Lytechinus pictus: one gene and its partner. Each later gene encodes a partner of the first gene's protein in a complex. Links are inferred from orthologs where the notes say so. Each region holds a gene or a part of one and is shown in the gene's direction. Other genes may lie near its edges.

The links.
Region 2: vacuolar protein sorting-associated protein 54-like (region 1) and vacuolar protein sorting-associated protein 52 homolog share a complex: the UniProt entries of both Caenorhabditis elegans proteins name them as parts of the golgi-associated retrograde protein (GARP) complex. The link is inferred for Lytechinus pictus from reciprocal best matches to the Caenorhabditis elegans genes vps-54 and vps-52.

The regions. Positions count from the first base shown.
Region 1 is NC_087251.1:34,989,592-34,997,575, reverse strand, and holds the start of vacuolar protein sorting-associated protein 54-like, read left to right. Parts: upstream 1-4,972; 5' UTR 4,973-5,158; coding exon 5,159-5,789; intron 5,790-6,714; coding exon 6,715-6,992; intron 6,993-7,728; coding exon 7,729-7,819; intron 7,820-7,984. Other genes in the region: cytochrome P450 3A24-like, read right to left, coding at 1,009-1,061, 1,330-1,423, 2,153-2,226. UniProt on the Caenorhabditis elegans protein: Acts as a component of the GARP complex that is involved in retrograde transport from early and late endosomes to the trans-Golgi network (TGN). The GARP complex facilitates tethering as well as SNARE complex assembly at the Golgi.
Region 2 is NC_087259.1:15,676,220-15,683,599, reverse strand, and holds the start of vacuolar protein sorting-associated protein 52 homolog, read left to right. Parts: upstream 1-4,340; 5' UTR 4,341-4,406; coding exon of another isoform or gene 4,407-4,409; 5' UTR 4,410-4,560; coding exon 4,561-4,659; intron 4,660-7,380. Other genes in the region: small ribosomal subunit protein uS13, read right to left, coding at 4,407-4,409. UniProt on the Caenorhabditis elegans protein: Acts as a component of the GARP complex that is involved in retrograde transport from early and late endosomes to the trans-Golgi network (TGN). The GARP complex facilitates tethering as well as SNARE complex assembly at the Golgi.

The DNA.
Region 1 (7,984 bases):
AAAAAATGAAATAATGCCGTAAAACACGGGGCTCGGTGGTTTGCGACCCTCCTCCCTTTCCTTTATAACAATTCATGGGCGTCAGCTCAGAGGATTCCCACGAACAAAGAAAGGATACTCCTCTGCGCTGACGCCCATGATATAAATAGTTTTATTTTTTTAATTAATTGTACCCGTTTTGGGAGTGAAGACCCCCCCCCCCCCATTTAATGCAAACGAGAATTGAATTGTTGACAAAGTGAACCTCCTTCTAAATACAGCTTTCCTCATATACCCCTTCTTATTTCACTCTTATTTCCAGAACATTATGCTTTATCCTTCCTTATTTCGAACAGCTAAAATCTATCTGCATCAGTCTTTAATTTATCATGCCTACAATATTTGATATGTTCAGTGCCGGACCCAGGTGGGGTGGAAACTATCCTGTGCCCCCCCCCCCCCCTTGTAAGCCTTGAAAAGTTTTTTTTCGTGGAAACAGCCGTGCAAGTCAAGACCCTTTTTTCAGATTTTCAAAAATTTTCTCCCCTTTCCACTTTTAGAATCCCTGGATACTTTATTGCATTTTGCATAATCATTATTATTAACTCTTTGCGCGCTGATGTTGCAATTTTGCACATTCGTACAAATAAATTGAACAATGGTAATAATTAGTTTTCTCATTGACATACATATTAGAAAAGCTTATAAATTACAATAGTTCTTGGATAACATCTATATAATAATCATAAGTATCAGTGATACAATGCAGAAGTCTTCATTCAAATAAAATAGCATTGAAACAGTTGTCATTATTAACCCCCAAAATCAATTCAGCATGTGAAGAGTTAAGTTCAGACTGAAATACTGCTAAAAGGAGCGAAATACAAACACATAAAGAAACAGACAAAAAAAAACAGTAAGACATCTTTACTTTTTTTCAATTTGCATTTTGACTACATACTTTTTTCATCTTGAACTATGACCTATAGTGTGTGCATACACTCAACATCTATAGACTGATATACACACCCAAATACTGTGCCGAATTTCTCTTGACATTTCAAAAAGAATCCAGGAACACTCTAAACAAAATCGAAAGAAAAAAACAACGAGATAAATATCATTTCTGGCGCATTATGTTCATTATTTATAAAAATAACTATTTGTCACATAAATGAGGTGAAAGGTTAAAAATGTCAAAAAATAAATAAAAGAGAATGTAAAAAAACATCTGTCATTGGTGTCTGTTATATGAACAACCACAAAATCCCAAATATATAGTAATCATTTTTTTACAATGTGCATAATGACGTGTGTGCTATATATTTTTTTCTAAATATGTCTATATACCTGCATGATTTGAAGAGCGTTGCCGAACAAAGGATTTGCAGAAGGACTTTTGATCCCACGTCGTTTGAAGTAGGTCAGTCTCCATATCTCACGTCTGAAGGAAAACAAATGTACACATTGAATTAGATGATGAAGAATCATATCCTAGCAAGAGGAGACAGAATATGTAAGCCCTAAATGACTTTTCATACGAAAGAAATCGTAGATATACTGTATTATGTCTGAGTGAGTTGATTCAATTGATTAACTGACGCAACAACGCAGTCTTTGACACATTATCATTTTAATGATCATTTTGATATATAGGCTAGCTACCCTAATTATATGATTTCAATAAATGTTATTGTGGTCGTAATCGTTATGTCTATGAGGCAACAACGATGATTATAACTTTAAAATTTACTTGTTAATATCATAGAAGAACAGACCTATTGACAACATTGCAAGTTGAAAATTATGTTCCAAGGACAAGCTACAGTGCTGCCTTTCAGTCCAACAGATCTCGCAGTGGGCATGCAAGTAGTGAAATTGCCCTCTTTCAATTTTACCCTTGCGTCTTCTCCGGTTGAAGTATCTCCTACTATACCCCCACCCTAGCTCCCTACTCATTTTTAGCACCCTAAAGTGGTACAATTGACAAGTGCCCCCCCCCCCACCCTACATACATTACTGCTGCATGCATCCTGCTGGATCATTCGTTTCTAGGTACAGCATGGTATTCACAAAGAAGAAAATAATGAATTTATCTGGTTAATAACCTTCTATACGTAAGCCTACTGGTCCATACATGATTCTACCAATAATATTACAAACTCATACTTACCCAATAAGGATAGCGATCAGGCTACCAACTAAGGGCCACGAAACCGTGTATCCCCTAACAGAGAAAAGGGTCATCGTCACATACGTGATACTGAATTAAGAGAGAGAGAGAGAAATCAGAATGCAATTCAGGTAGCTTCACCGACTTGAGATATTGGGCATCCAAATCAAAATTCAACCTGAACTAGAGCACAGTGTTGAGTTTAGATGCATGATAGGTCTGACTATATGCGTGTCTCTAGCCTCTCAATCTCACCGCTACGCACAACGCTTTCAAGAAAATAGAAAATAATATGGGCCTATATTGTCAAATGCCCTCCGGGTACTTAGCAACTGTCTAAAGATGCTGGAGAATCAAAACAGCAGTTTTGTTCTGGACTCTGGACAAACGACATATATAGTGCAATATTCGTCAGCTCCGGAACTTAGGACGAATCTGCTGTTCCGCTTCACTAATTTTCGACAAATACCTCCCAGCTGTTAATTGTCATTTGACCGGCATTTTCAGTACACTTACCGCTTACTATGTTCTCGAATTCGTTCGGCGTGGCTGTGCGAAAACTTGCTTTAATCAGATTATGGAGTATGAAAGTTCAACAAGCGTGAATGAGTATGAACAATTTCATATTTGGTAAAATGGACTTTGAACATCGAAAGGTAGTTGAGCCGAACAAAAAAATGAGTGGTTTAAAATTAATGAGTATATGACAGTTATGAATTTAGATTGTGGCTTGTGTTTCTAGTTCTAGCAGTTTAAATTTGCATTGCGAATTCTTCCGCCGTCCTTCACAGGCATTTCGTTTGCTGTAACAGGCAATTCACTTAACTTGTATTTCTTCTCTCAGCCCTTTCCTGGCCCTTCTTGCATATTTGTATTGTACTTTTGTTAGAGGCGTGTTACAGTTTTTGCTATTAGGGAATTACGACATCTTCTGTTATTAAAAAATCTCTTATGTATTTTTATTCTATGACAAATTATTTTGTATAACTTATATTGAAAAAAATATATATTTCATGAAAATGGAAGAGAATAAATTTCTACTTGAATGAAAATGAGTGAAAAGAATATTTCGATTTTGCGATTATTTCTTAAGATGTTTTCCGTATAATCACACCTCCGAAATTTTAATAGGCCTACATGGATGGAAATTTATGCATTACTCCTCTTATGCCCGGCTGTTATGACCGTGTTTCATAATCATTCTAGCATAATATGATAGAGAACTATATCTCTATATCAATATAAGTTTGATATTCCTTATGACATTTTTTTTTTAATTTCGAGATAAACATTTTTTTTATCTGCGTTTATTTTCTCTAACGGTGTAACCATTCAATAAAAGTTAAGTCATAAGAGCAATTTGATGTAGAGGTTTTTTTTCCTCCATCCAATTTTCCTCTGAATAGAGTTTCACACTTGTGCACGTCAAAGAACATTGAGTATGTATCCATCCATGTTTTGTTTTTTTAATATATATCTGTAATTTTTTTTATATATATCTTTCTAAAATTCTCAGACAGATATAGGCCTAAGAATACGTTATTCAGTGTTACCCCCCCCCCCCCGTTTATTCGATTAAACTATTATATTTCAAAACAAACAGTATTTGTCAGGCTTCTGTGAGGTATATCAAGTTTTCGAAACTATCAAACATTATATTTATTTGTTCAAAATATTTTTTAAAAAAGAGACGCACTCTGTTGAAAAAAAAATGAAATTGAATAACATGTACATTAAGCAATTAAATTAACCCAGATTATATACGTGAATTATTGTGTTTTATGTATATGCAACTAACCGTTTTGGTTAGCTTGCCTCTTCCACGAACAATTTATCACGCGGGTTATTTACTCTGTCAATATGGAATGTGCTATTTGACGAAGACATCAATTAATTCTAAGAAACCTGTAGAACCTACTACAGGTTGAGGAGCGCACTCACATTCAACTAAAACAACAACAAACAAACAACAACGTCCTTTGTTCTTTCCTTATTCAATTTATTTTATTATGTTGTCTCTTCATAATCTGTAAATCGGAAACGAAACTAGTTGAATGAAGCTTAAATGATAAATAAATAGATTGATGATATTGCTTAATTAATTAAATGTGTGTGTGTATTTGAGTTTTTGAGTAATTAATTAAATAATCAATAGATGAATAAATGACTGAAATTCTAGATAATGAATAATTAAATACATTAGTAGATAAATAGATCACAAAGAACATTTATTTTTCTATTTTGGGGGCAATTTTTATATAAGATATGAATGGTACAGATTTTTTAACAGACCAAACTATTATTATTAAATACAAATGCCAGGTTTTTGTGGAAAAAAAATTGCATCATATATGGATGAAGAATGCTCAAATTTTTATCTGAAACCCCAGATCGGCTGTCAATAGAAACTTAAAAAAGTGGTTGACTGCATGGGAACAGTTTGCCATGAAAAAACAAAATACTAAAATTAAGACTGTCCGTCAATGAGGCACTAGCATAGGCTTAAAGATCGTACCTTAAAGATCATTATGTGTGAGATGTATACGTTATTAGTATATATCTCTATGGTGTGATATATGATTTTTGCTTTGAAGGTAGAGTACAATCAAATTGATAATTCACATTTTACTGATTGGCAATAAAATCGACAATTTCAAACAAAATAAAGCGTATACAATTTTTGTTTAATCAATTTATAGTATTTTATTATATATATTTATTTACATAACATTTAATTCTAAAATTTATAATTAATAAAAAATAAATACATGAAATAGTATAACTCACATCAAACATGTTTTGCCAATTTGATATATCGTTACGATCTATTTGTGTATAAATTGTCATAGACAGCTGTTACGTGGACAGGTACGACGTTTTCTATGCCAGAGATACGCCTGTGAAAAATGATTTTAGTTTGCAGGAAACAATATTCCACCTTGTTTCATGGATCAGAATAGTTAGCCATCATTTTTTCATATAGTATCTGGAGTATTCTACACGAAAATGAGCTCCGGACGTCGCTCAATTCCTTCGTCCAGATCACATCCGTCATTCACTTCCACTGGCTACTCGCTGGGCCTGGGGTCTCACTCGTCCAGCAGCGATGGGGAGGCACCGGGGAGGCGAAAGGAGGCTACCGGCGCGAGAAACAGACGACAAGCGGGCCTGTCAACAACAGAGCAGAATTTACGGTCAAGCGTGAGAAATACTTCAAATAGTGAAATTGAGCAAGTGTGTGAAAGAATCAATGACAAATTATCAGTTAATGATGTAATGAGTAGATCATCTAGCGACCATTCCATATCAAATCTTCATGAAATCAAAGCGTCATATTCTGCACAGCAGCAGCAGACGCATGAACGTTTAAGGCAAGGAAATGAAAGAACTACAATGATGGCAAGAACAAGTAAAAATCCAAAGATTATACCTTGGCGGAAATGTGCATTATGCAGTATTGCATTTAGAACTCAAACAGATTTTCTCAAACATTTACGGGATAAACATTGTACCAAGGAGGGTGGTTCATTTGTTTGCCGTTATGGACTTCATGGTGTTTGCCCAACATTGCCTGTGGATGGAGTGAGTGATGTAGACTATGAATATCATGTTGCAAGGGACCATATGATGGATGAAGGTAAATCACATCACTTTGTAGGGAATAATTTTGCAAAACAACAATTTTTGCAAAATTAAGTCATAAAACTCTCTCAGCTACCTCTATGATCTGAAGTCCTTTTTTACTACAAATCTGACCAGGCATTTTTTGTGTAGCAGTCTTTAAAAAGAGAGGAGCAAATGGTGATGCAAAACCAGGAAAATTATTCCTTGTTCTTACTACTGATTTAGAGTGTAGTAGAGTATTCTGCAATGTGGCTTTACCCTTTTAAACTATGTACTGCATATTGTGTACATGCATTTGCCTTATTTATAAAGCCACTAGCGATTCATGCCAGCAGACTATTATTCATTGAGTCAGTCATGAGTGGTTTTCAAAGATCAAATCCTTGTGTAAGAAAAGTGAGGAATACTTATTTCAACCTGTAAAAAAAATTAGCAGGGATGCATGTGGTTGGGAAATTGGGATTTTCATCAATTGAATTATTTGAAACATTATTTACCTTTACTTGAGATTCTGGAAGAATGCTGATGATCCCAGCAGTCGTGCTTCCAGTTCAAGTCCTTCATCCTTCTCGTTAGTTAGGTATCTTCATAGCAGTCTTGCTTGGAAATCTACACCATCCTCGACATTAGTATGGTTTATACATCATAGGGTGAGCAGTACCACTGGTCTGCCCACACCTTGTCTAGCCTTATTTTTAACAATATAAATACAATAACATTTATGTATTATTTCACATTAAGATTATATTACTATTAATTGATTTTGCTTGATAGAACTTTTACAAATCTTGTAAAAGATGAAAGCATTAATTTCTACATTATTTATTTTTACTATTTACCGCCATTGCTAAAATATATCATTGTACATGTATGTTATTTACAAATTTACACTAACAATCAATAACTTTTCTCATTGTATTTTTAATAACACCTTCCAGCTTTAGCAAACAGGTTAAAATCTGCAGCTCATAGCGACGCCCCTTCTATGACAGTAGCTCCCTCAGTGGTCAGTGTTCAGCAAAAATGGACACCCCTGTCATCTGTGGTCAACTTACCTGCTGTCTTAAATGACCCTAGAAAGGTCAAAAGGGAAACAGATTTCTTCACGAAGACGTGGGGTGAAGGCTTCGTGGATCAGAGTGAAATTCCCTCCTCTCCGTATGTCCCTCGCATTTCAAGAATCCACTTTGAGAAATATCTCAGGCAGGTGGCATATGTAAGTATGCACTTATTTATATTTCTTACCAAAATATACAAAAATAAGTATAAGAGTAAGAATGATGTATATCTGCAAGAAAGCTGTTGGGTTCTTCAAGCTTAAAAATGATGGAGGTCGTCTAAACAGTTTTGAAAAAAAAAATTAAAAGAAATATGCATCAAATTCCTTGCATTTTATAGTATTGTTTGAAATTACTCGATATGAATATAATTTTTGATACACCATTCGTATAGATCTGTGTGTACAAGCCTGCTCAAATCTTTTATTGTATTTTAACAGGGTTTGATGTAAAGAAAATTATCTTTGTGCAAAGTGCCCTACCCAAAGCATCTCTTCATGTCACAGAGATTCTTCCGCTGAGAAACACCGTAATACAACAAACTTGAGACCGTGTAGCACAAAGCACAATGTCTTGAGGATAGAGGTCACTTTTGATATTTTAAGAGCTCTCTCATTGAATTAGGCAATGATACAATGATGCAGATTCTTTGATATTGGGTGGGAGAAAAAGTTGAGATTTACAGGCACATCTAGGGCCAACTACAATATATTCAAACTCAAGTGAGGTGGGGAGACTTTGTGAAGTACATGTGTTAACTCAAAGTGGGGATCTGCCACCAATAATATGATAGTTGGAATATCTGTTCTTGTCTAGATGTTAACTCTACTTTTTTTTTAATTATGGAACTGATATGCTTTGATCTCTTTGTATTGCTCTCTCTGTCTCTTGTAGAAACTACAGCAACATAGAAGACCATCCGCAGTCAGTACATCATCACAAAGCGATGATGATCAGAGCTCAAGTCTTGCCAGTGGAAATCGAGGTTAGAAAAAAAAAACATTTCCTCGAATTTTTGTTCCTTTATCATTGCATATCTCTGTATATTTGAGTATCTGAAAAACATTTTTGTTATAACATTCAGAAACAATAATATATTTCTAATTATTTCGAACAAAGTTCTCAACTCTGTTTTTTGTTTACAATATGC
Region 2 (7,380 bases), on another chromosome or scaffold:
ACAAGATTTACAAAGTGAAAGTAACTTAGTGGTAGTGGCTGCAGAATTAATATTTCAGAAGTTTGTTTTATTCATTTTTAATTAATGTTTTTCTTTATCTTTTTCGGGCCACCAAACTTTAATATCGGGCCACCAAAACCTTCAAATAATTTTTTTGGGGCCACCACCAAAAAAAGTTAATGTGGAGCCTTGGCATAATTTATTTTTCCCCTTTTATTTGGAGTGCTATTGCGACCCCATTCAACCCCATTTTGGAGAGCATATGTCCGCCTAGTATTACACGGGGTAAACTTAAGGCGCCGGGTGCGCTCGCGCAGATGTGATGGTCGGACATCGCTCTGCGGCCACTTTTCACCAAAATTGCAGCTCATTGTAGCAGATCAATGCCGCCGGAACGGCGTTACAAAATATATGCGAAGCTTTGGAATGGATTTCTTTTTTTTCTCGACAAGAAAATGCTATGCTTTGGAGCGGCTTTCTTTGTTCTTTTTCTCAATAAATAAGATAAAATTGCTATGCCTGGCTTGGTTGGAATTAAAATTTGAGTGTAAAAATGGGGGTCCCTTCCGCAGCACACACCCACCATACATACTGAGTGCCCCCCCCCCCCAACATACACCACCTGTCTCTCTCTCATCATTGTGAGACCTTAAGTTTAGTTCTAAAATATTTGTTACAGAGGTAGAATAGATCTCGACTATAGCACAAGTTTGCCTCCATGTATTATTGTGTAGGCCTACTCATGAAATTAGGTAACCCAGGGAGCTCCGGCGCGCTTCGCGGGCCGGAGCCCAGGAGTCGACCATAACGAGGGAGACATGGGACTGGGGTAGATTGGGGTCTCAATAGTAATCTTAATAAAATGTGGAAACAGGAATTATGCACTTGCCACGATTATATGGATGAAGGTGTATCGTTACACAATCCTGACATCGAGGCACAGACTGGAACCTCAAAAATCAAAATATAGCGTCGGTCAGTAGAGGCACACGGCTAATATGGGAGACTGTCTCCCATGAGAGAGATTATCTCCAATATCAGACTTATGTAAAGAATTTGGGTATCCAATTTCAGAGACAGTCTCCAGTTTGGGAAACCAATTTCCTTTGTTTACATTTGCTGCAAAAGGATTAGCTAGGCGGCAAATGAAAATGTGATAAGCAGATTCCTCATGAAAAATTACCCCTTTTCACCGTCTACTTTAAAAATTCACCTGTCTACTTTTGTTTTGATAAGGATTTTTGTTGTCATCCACACACAAAACAAATGGGCTTCTGACCCAGTGAGACAAAATTTTGAGTGGAAAAATTACACTTTTGTTGGTGTTGTTTCTTTTGCAAAGTAAGTCTCCAATATGGGAGACAATCTCCCATATTGGCCGTGCGCCTCTACTCTTGATCGGCTATTTTGTTTTGAATTTTGAAAGGAGAGATATCGCGACATAGACAGATGGCAACCGTCAGTTTCGAGGAGTTTTTTAACATTTTTTATTTTTCCTCGTACACAGACGGCTCGCTATCGTGCAGCCATCATTAGGCCAGGGGGTTAACAATGCAAAATCCCCCTGACGGGGCTCGTCAATTTTTGTCTTTATTTCATAAAAATATTCCAAAAGAAATGTACCAAAATGAAGTTTATTATTCCGTTTTGGCCTGAAATGCACCAAAACGGGAAAATATAAACTTAAAAGGGGACAAAACAGTGACTTACTAATTACTTCGAATGTCCCACAACTTCACTTCTCTGTTTTATCCGATTTTAATACATAAACATATGGCCATTGAGTCCCTGTACAGATCGAGCTAGAACTTCTGTCTCTGTATTTGGCGAGTGGAGCCAACGGAGTTCAGCGGAACAACCAACATACAGAGACCGAAGCTTTAAGTTTGGTCTATCGCGACAGAACTTTTCGTTTTTTTGAGGTTCCAGTCTGTGCCTCGATGTCAGGATTTGTGTCACGATAGACCTTCATCCATGTCGATATAAATCGTGATTTAGTGCATAATTTCTGTTTCCACATTTTATTAAGATTACTATTGAGACCCCAATCTACCCCATTGGGTGATTTCAAGTTCGGCGTTCGTGTTGAGCCGCTGAACCGAGCTGGGTTCAGAGGAATGATACCGATTGCGTTTTCGATAGCACATGTCACGCCCCTGCGCAATCATCTCAACTTCAAGCGAGAAGTCTCGACGACGAAAATGAAATCGGAGAGAAATGCATTAAATTCTCATCGTACAGAATACCAATGTTTTAATTGATTCAAGAATTCGAAAGAGTAAACATTATTCTTCATCAAAATATAAACAGCTCAAATGATTTGTACTCATCTTATTTAGTTATTAGGCCCTAACTGTAAAAGCTAATTTTACGGGGATGTTTCATCGTGTTCGCCGCCTGTTCACGAGCTAGAGATTGCCAACACCAAAACCAACACCGAACTTGAAATCATGATTTTCCCAATCCCTGGGGGTTGGTGTTGGTGAATGGGGAAATTGCACGTCGTAGATCGTCAACACCAGCCGCAGTGCCGGGTTCAGCAGACGACATTCAACACCAGCAGGCAGCACTCAACACGAACTGCCGGAAATACGTCATATTTTCCGAGGTCAATCCCAACACCAGCCTGATTTCAAGTACGGACGGTGTTGTGGCTGGTGTTGTCACGACACCAACACCAGATTTCAACACCGTATGGTTGGAACTACCCCTTATCGACCACCTAATCTTCTAAGCATCATATCTGCGAAAATATTCATCAATTTTACCCAGTTTTCGTCTCATTAGTGCAGAAAATTGAGCAGATCAGATTCCCATGTTTCGCTCGGCGACTCCGATTCAATCCGCGTATATATCGACGAACAACGAATACGACGATTTTACATTTGCTCATTTGCACCAGTCTTTTGAAACCGACCACCCGCGGTACATTAAGTTTACGACCGATTCTTGTCGCGGTGGCGAAATATTTTTACTCTTCCAAATCAGTTCTATGTCAACATGCTAAATGATCGTCTCACTACTTCCACTGCGAGCTCCGGCACATGATTCGACGATTGACGACGGATATTTGTTCTAGAGCCGTTTCCTATCGGATTTCTTGGTTTTTCAGCGGGTTTTGGGTTTGGTCAATACAATTTTGATTAATTCTACTAAATTTTTACTTCTTGTTGCTTCTTTTTTTCTCGTAAAATCGATTCTTACCGTTTCTATGGACACTGCGCCTACTCTCCCGCGCGTATCGTTTGTAATACGCAATAATTTTAACGCGCGCAAGGTGGTCGGTTTCAAAAGAGGTGGTCGATATGTGGTAGTCTCACCATACTTGAAATCACCCATTGACATTGTCTCCCTCGTTTTACACTGTCGACTCCCGAGTCCTGGGGGCCGTTTCATGAAAGGACTTGTCGGACGCTTAATCCGACAAGTCCCATTTTATCCGACAGTTACCATAGGGACAGTGCCTCTCTGCCAATCAAAATCATGGAAAGATGTCAGATCTGACAACTTGTAGGATGAAAATATTGATGAACAGTAGAGGCGCTGGTCCAAAAATTGGGATTGACCCAGAAAACAAGGATATCCTCATAAACCAAGACAAATCATGTCTATTGTCTTGATAAATTGAGACTGTCCTTGTTTATGGGGACGTTTTTTTTTCACTTCCCCCTACGGGACAAAGACAGCAATTACGGGAATTGAGAGTGCTAAAAATAGATTCAGTGACCTCAATTCCCCCCAGTTCACCTTCTATTTTTCATGACTTAGGCCTAGGCCTACTACCTTCTTCCAATAATCTTGTTTTGAAACCTGATATGTTTACATTGACTAGCACACTTGATTGATGTCGGCACTTGACAGGTGAATGAACTTTCCTAGATTTCTTGTGTGAAGAAATCCTTATAAACTGAGACAGTCCCTGTAAACTGGGACGATCCCAATTTTCTGACCAGCGCCTCTAGCCTACTGATGAAACGCTCCCCTGGGCTCCGGCACGCAAAGTGGGCCGGAACTCCCTGGCCCTGGGAGCTTGGACTTGGTTAGAAATTAGGTTGTTCCTAATGACTTGTAGGCCTATAATATATCTTCCACCTGGTAGAAGGCAAAATTTGGCTAACAATCTCTTAATTCGTTGAACTTCGTTCGTTAAAAACGGATACAACATAATTTGGACAGAAGGATACAAGTTTATCGCTATGTATGAGAAGTAACTTTGCAACAAATCTCGGCGCTACCTCGCATTTAAAAGTGAAAAATGTATTTTATCGTAAATACAAATAAACGCACACACAATACAATTAATGCAGTAGTAAAAACGGAATCAACAAAGACAATTCAATGAGAGGATGGGTTAATAAAGCTGAGATTTAACATGATATAATTTAGATGTAGGGTCGTTTCGTTACCATCTTGATTCGGGTGCGGAGCAAAAAGGGAGATGCCGAGTTTTATTGCTTCCAGTTCAAAGATCCCTGATTGGACAAATCTACGAGAAACTCAATGATTCGACCAATGGCCAATGCCGTCTCTTTAGTGTCCGTCGAGTGAGAAGGATGCAAGATGGCAGCCACCAGTGCCAGAAAGTCTACCAATCCTTTTGATGATGTTGACGAGCCTGAAAATCCATTTTGGGATGAACATGTTCCAGGCAATCCAGAGGTCTATTAATTTTTTTTTACTCATTGAATAAAGTGTAAAACTTATCTTTGAATGATGCTCTGTTAATTTAGCTCATTATTTGTGTGGTGAAGGACTTTGGGAAGCATAGGACTACACGTTCCCACCTGTCCATATTCATGTCATGTTTTTATACCGCATCTACTGGAAAAATACAGTTGTGTCTACATTATAGCCAGGCGGCTTCTAGAGAGTAAAAATCATTTACTAACGTAAGGTTACTCTCATACGAAGCCAGGGCTTCTATCTCATAGTAGGGTGTCTGGACTGAAGCCACACTGAAAAGTGTCAGCATAAAACAGGCTGATTTAGGGGGAAATATGGCCAATTTTTTCTGGAAATTCAGGCTGCTATCAGTAGTCTGGATAGAGGCGCACGGCCAATATGGGAGACTCTCTCCAATAGGGGAGACAATCTCCCACATTGGAGACTTGCTTTTCAAAAGGACAAAAGAAACAACACCAACAAAAGTCAAAAGCATTATTTTTTCCACCCAAAATTTTGTCTCACTGTGGTCAGAAGTAGTCTTGAGGACTCCATGATGATGTCTTTTAAAACAAATTTGACATATACTTCTCCATCATGGAGTCTTGAATCCCTTCCCATACATGCATAAGAGAATCTTGTAAACACAGATGGATTTCCCCAGGAAATCCATCTTTTTTATTAAAAATCGATAAAATTAGCAGGATTTTATTATTCTCTACACCTTCCTACGCCTAATGCATGAGAAGGTTTAAAAAAATATTGAATAAAAATACGTAAAAATAAAGGTTTCTTACCAGACCGATGTCGTGTAGATCCTTCGCTCCACATGTACACAGCGCAAATACAATGGCGACGACCCTTGAACCGCTTATGTATGACGTACATGTACGTAGGTAAACACAGAGAGAAATAGTGCGCATGCGTAGCTTATTGTGCTAGTACAAGATTCCCGGCCGACGTCGTGCAGAGGTCAAACATTCTTATGTTAATGACGAGTTTAGCGCTCCTAATCTTGTACTAGCACAATAAGCTACGCATGCGCACTATTTCTCTCTGTGTTTACCTACGTACATGTACGTCATACATAAGCGGTTCAAGGGTCGTCGCCATTGTATTTGCGCTGTGTACATGTGGAGCGAAGGATCTACACGACATCGGTCTGGTAAGAAACCTTTATTTTTACGTATTTTTATTCAATATTTTTTTAAACCTTCTTATGCATTAGGCGTAGGAAGGTGTAGGGAATAATAAAATCCTGCTAATTTTATCGATTTTTAATAAAAAAGATGGGGAAATCCATCTGTGTTTACAAGATTCTCTTATGCATGTATGGGAAGGGATTCAAGACTCCATGATGGAGAAGTATATGTCAAATTTGTTTTAAAAGACATCATCATGGAGTCCTCAAGACTAGGTCAGAAGCCCATTTGTTTTGTGTGTGATTGACAACAAAAATCCTTATCAAAACAAAAGTAGACGGTGAATTTTTAAAGTAGACGGTGAAAAGGGGTAATTTTTCATGAGGAATCTGCTTATCACATTTTTATTTGCCGCCAAGGTAATCCTTTTGCAGCAAATGTAAACAAAGGAAATTGGTCTCCAAAACTGGAGACTGTCTCTGAAATTGGATACCCAAATTCTTTACAAAAGTCTCTGATATTGGAGATAATCTCCCACATTGGAGACAGTCTCCAATATTGGCCGTGCACCTCTACTGGCTATAATTTTATAAAAATGTGATCTGAATTAATTATTAACTTGTGTTTGGCATGTATGGAAAGAGAAAATTCAGGGGCTTCTTTTGACAGTAAGGACAAGTTTATAGGATTATTTGAAATGAAGATTTAGAGATAAATTGCAAACCCTTATTTGTGTGTGTGTTGAGATTGCCATTTCCCCATGCGTTTTCTATGGGAAAATGAAATTTCTGTTTTGCACAAATTTTTTCACTTTGTCGCAATTTTTCATTGTGATCTGGTTTCCAAATCTTTATAAAAATCATACCATCAGAAAGAGCATAAAAATTCCTATTTGACACTTAATGGACAAGTTTTTGGCATTAATAATAAATCTATTTAAAACAGCTCTCGGAAGCTAAAAATTTGGATTTGTGTGTGTCCATTTCTTAACTACACAGTCTGTGGCAGGGAAATGCTGAAAATTGACCTAATTTCATTCTTCTTTTTTGCAGCCAATAATTGGATTTTTGAAAAAAATGTTATATTTCTGTCAGTCTGAAGATTATTTCTCTTCAAATTCACAAAGAAAATGTGATATTTTCTTGGAATAAGAAAAATAGTTTTTTTCTCCAGACACCCTACTCATAGACCCACACAAAGGAAGCCAAAACCTGAAACTTTCACCCCCGAGATTTCTACTTTCCTTCTAAAAGATCTAGACCTAGTAAATCATGTACATGGGATAAAACTTAATTTCCGACATTTCTACGCTCTCGTTATTTTTGAAGAAGAATTCATAAAAAAAATGAGAAAAATATCATGAATAGACGGAAGAGACTTGCCCGATGTTTACGCCGTCATCTTGTGTGGAGTGGTACTAAACCCAATGAAGTTAGTAAACGTAAAGCTGACGTCCATGACATAACAATTAAGATATCGTTGTACTTGTTTAGGGGGTCAATTCAGGAAATACCAAGGGTACCATTTTGTTTCCAGTACTTGTTAAGGGTAGGGTTTCACATGCCAATACTTGTTA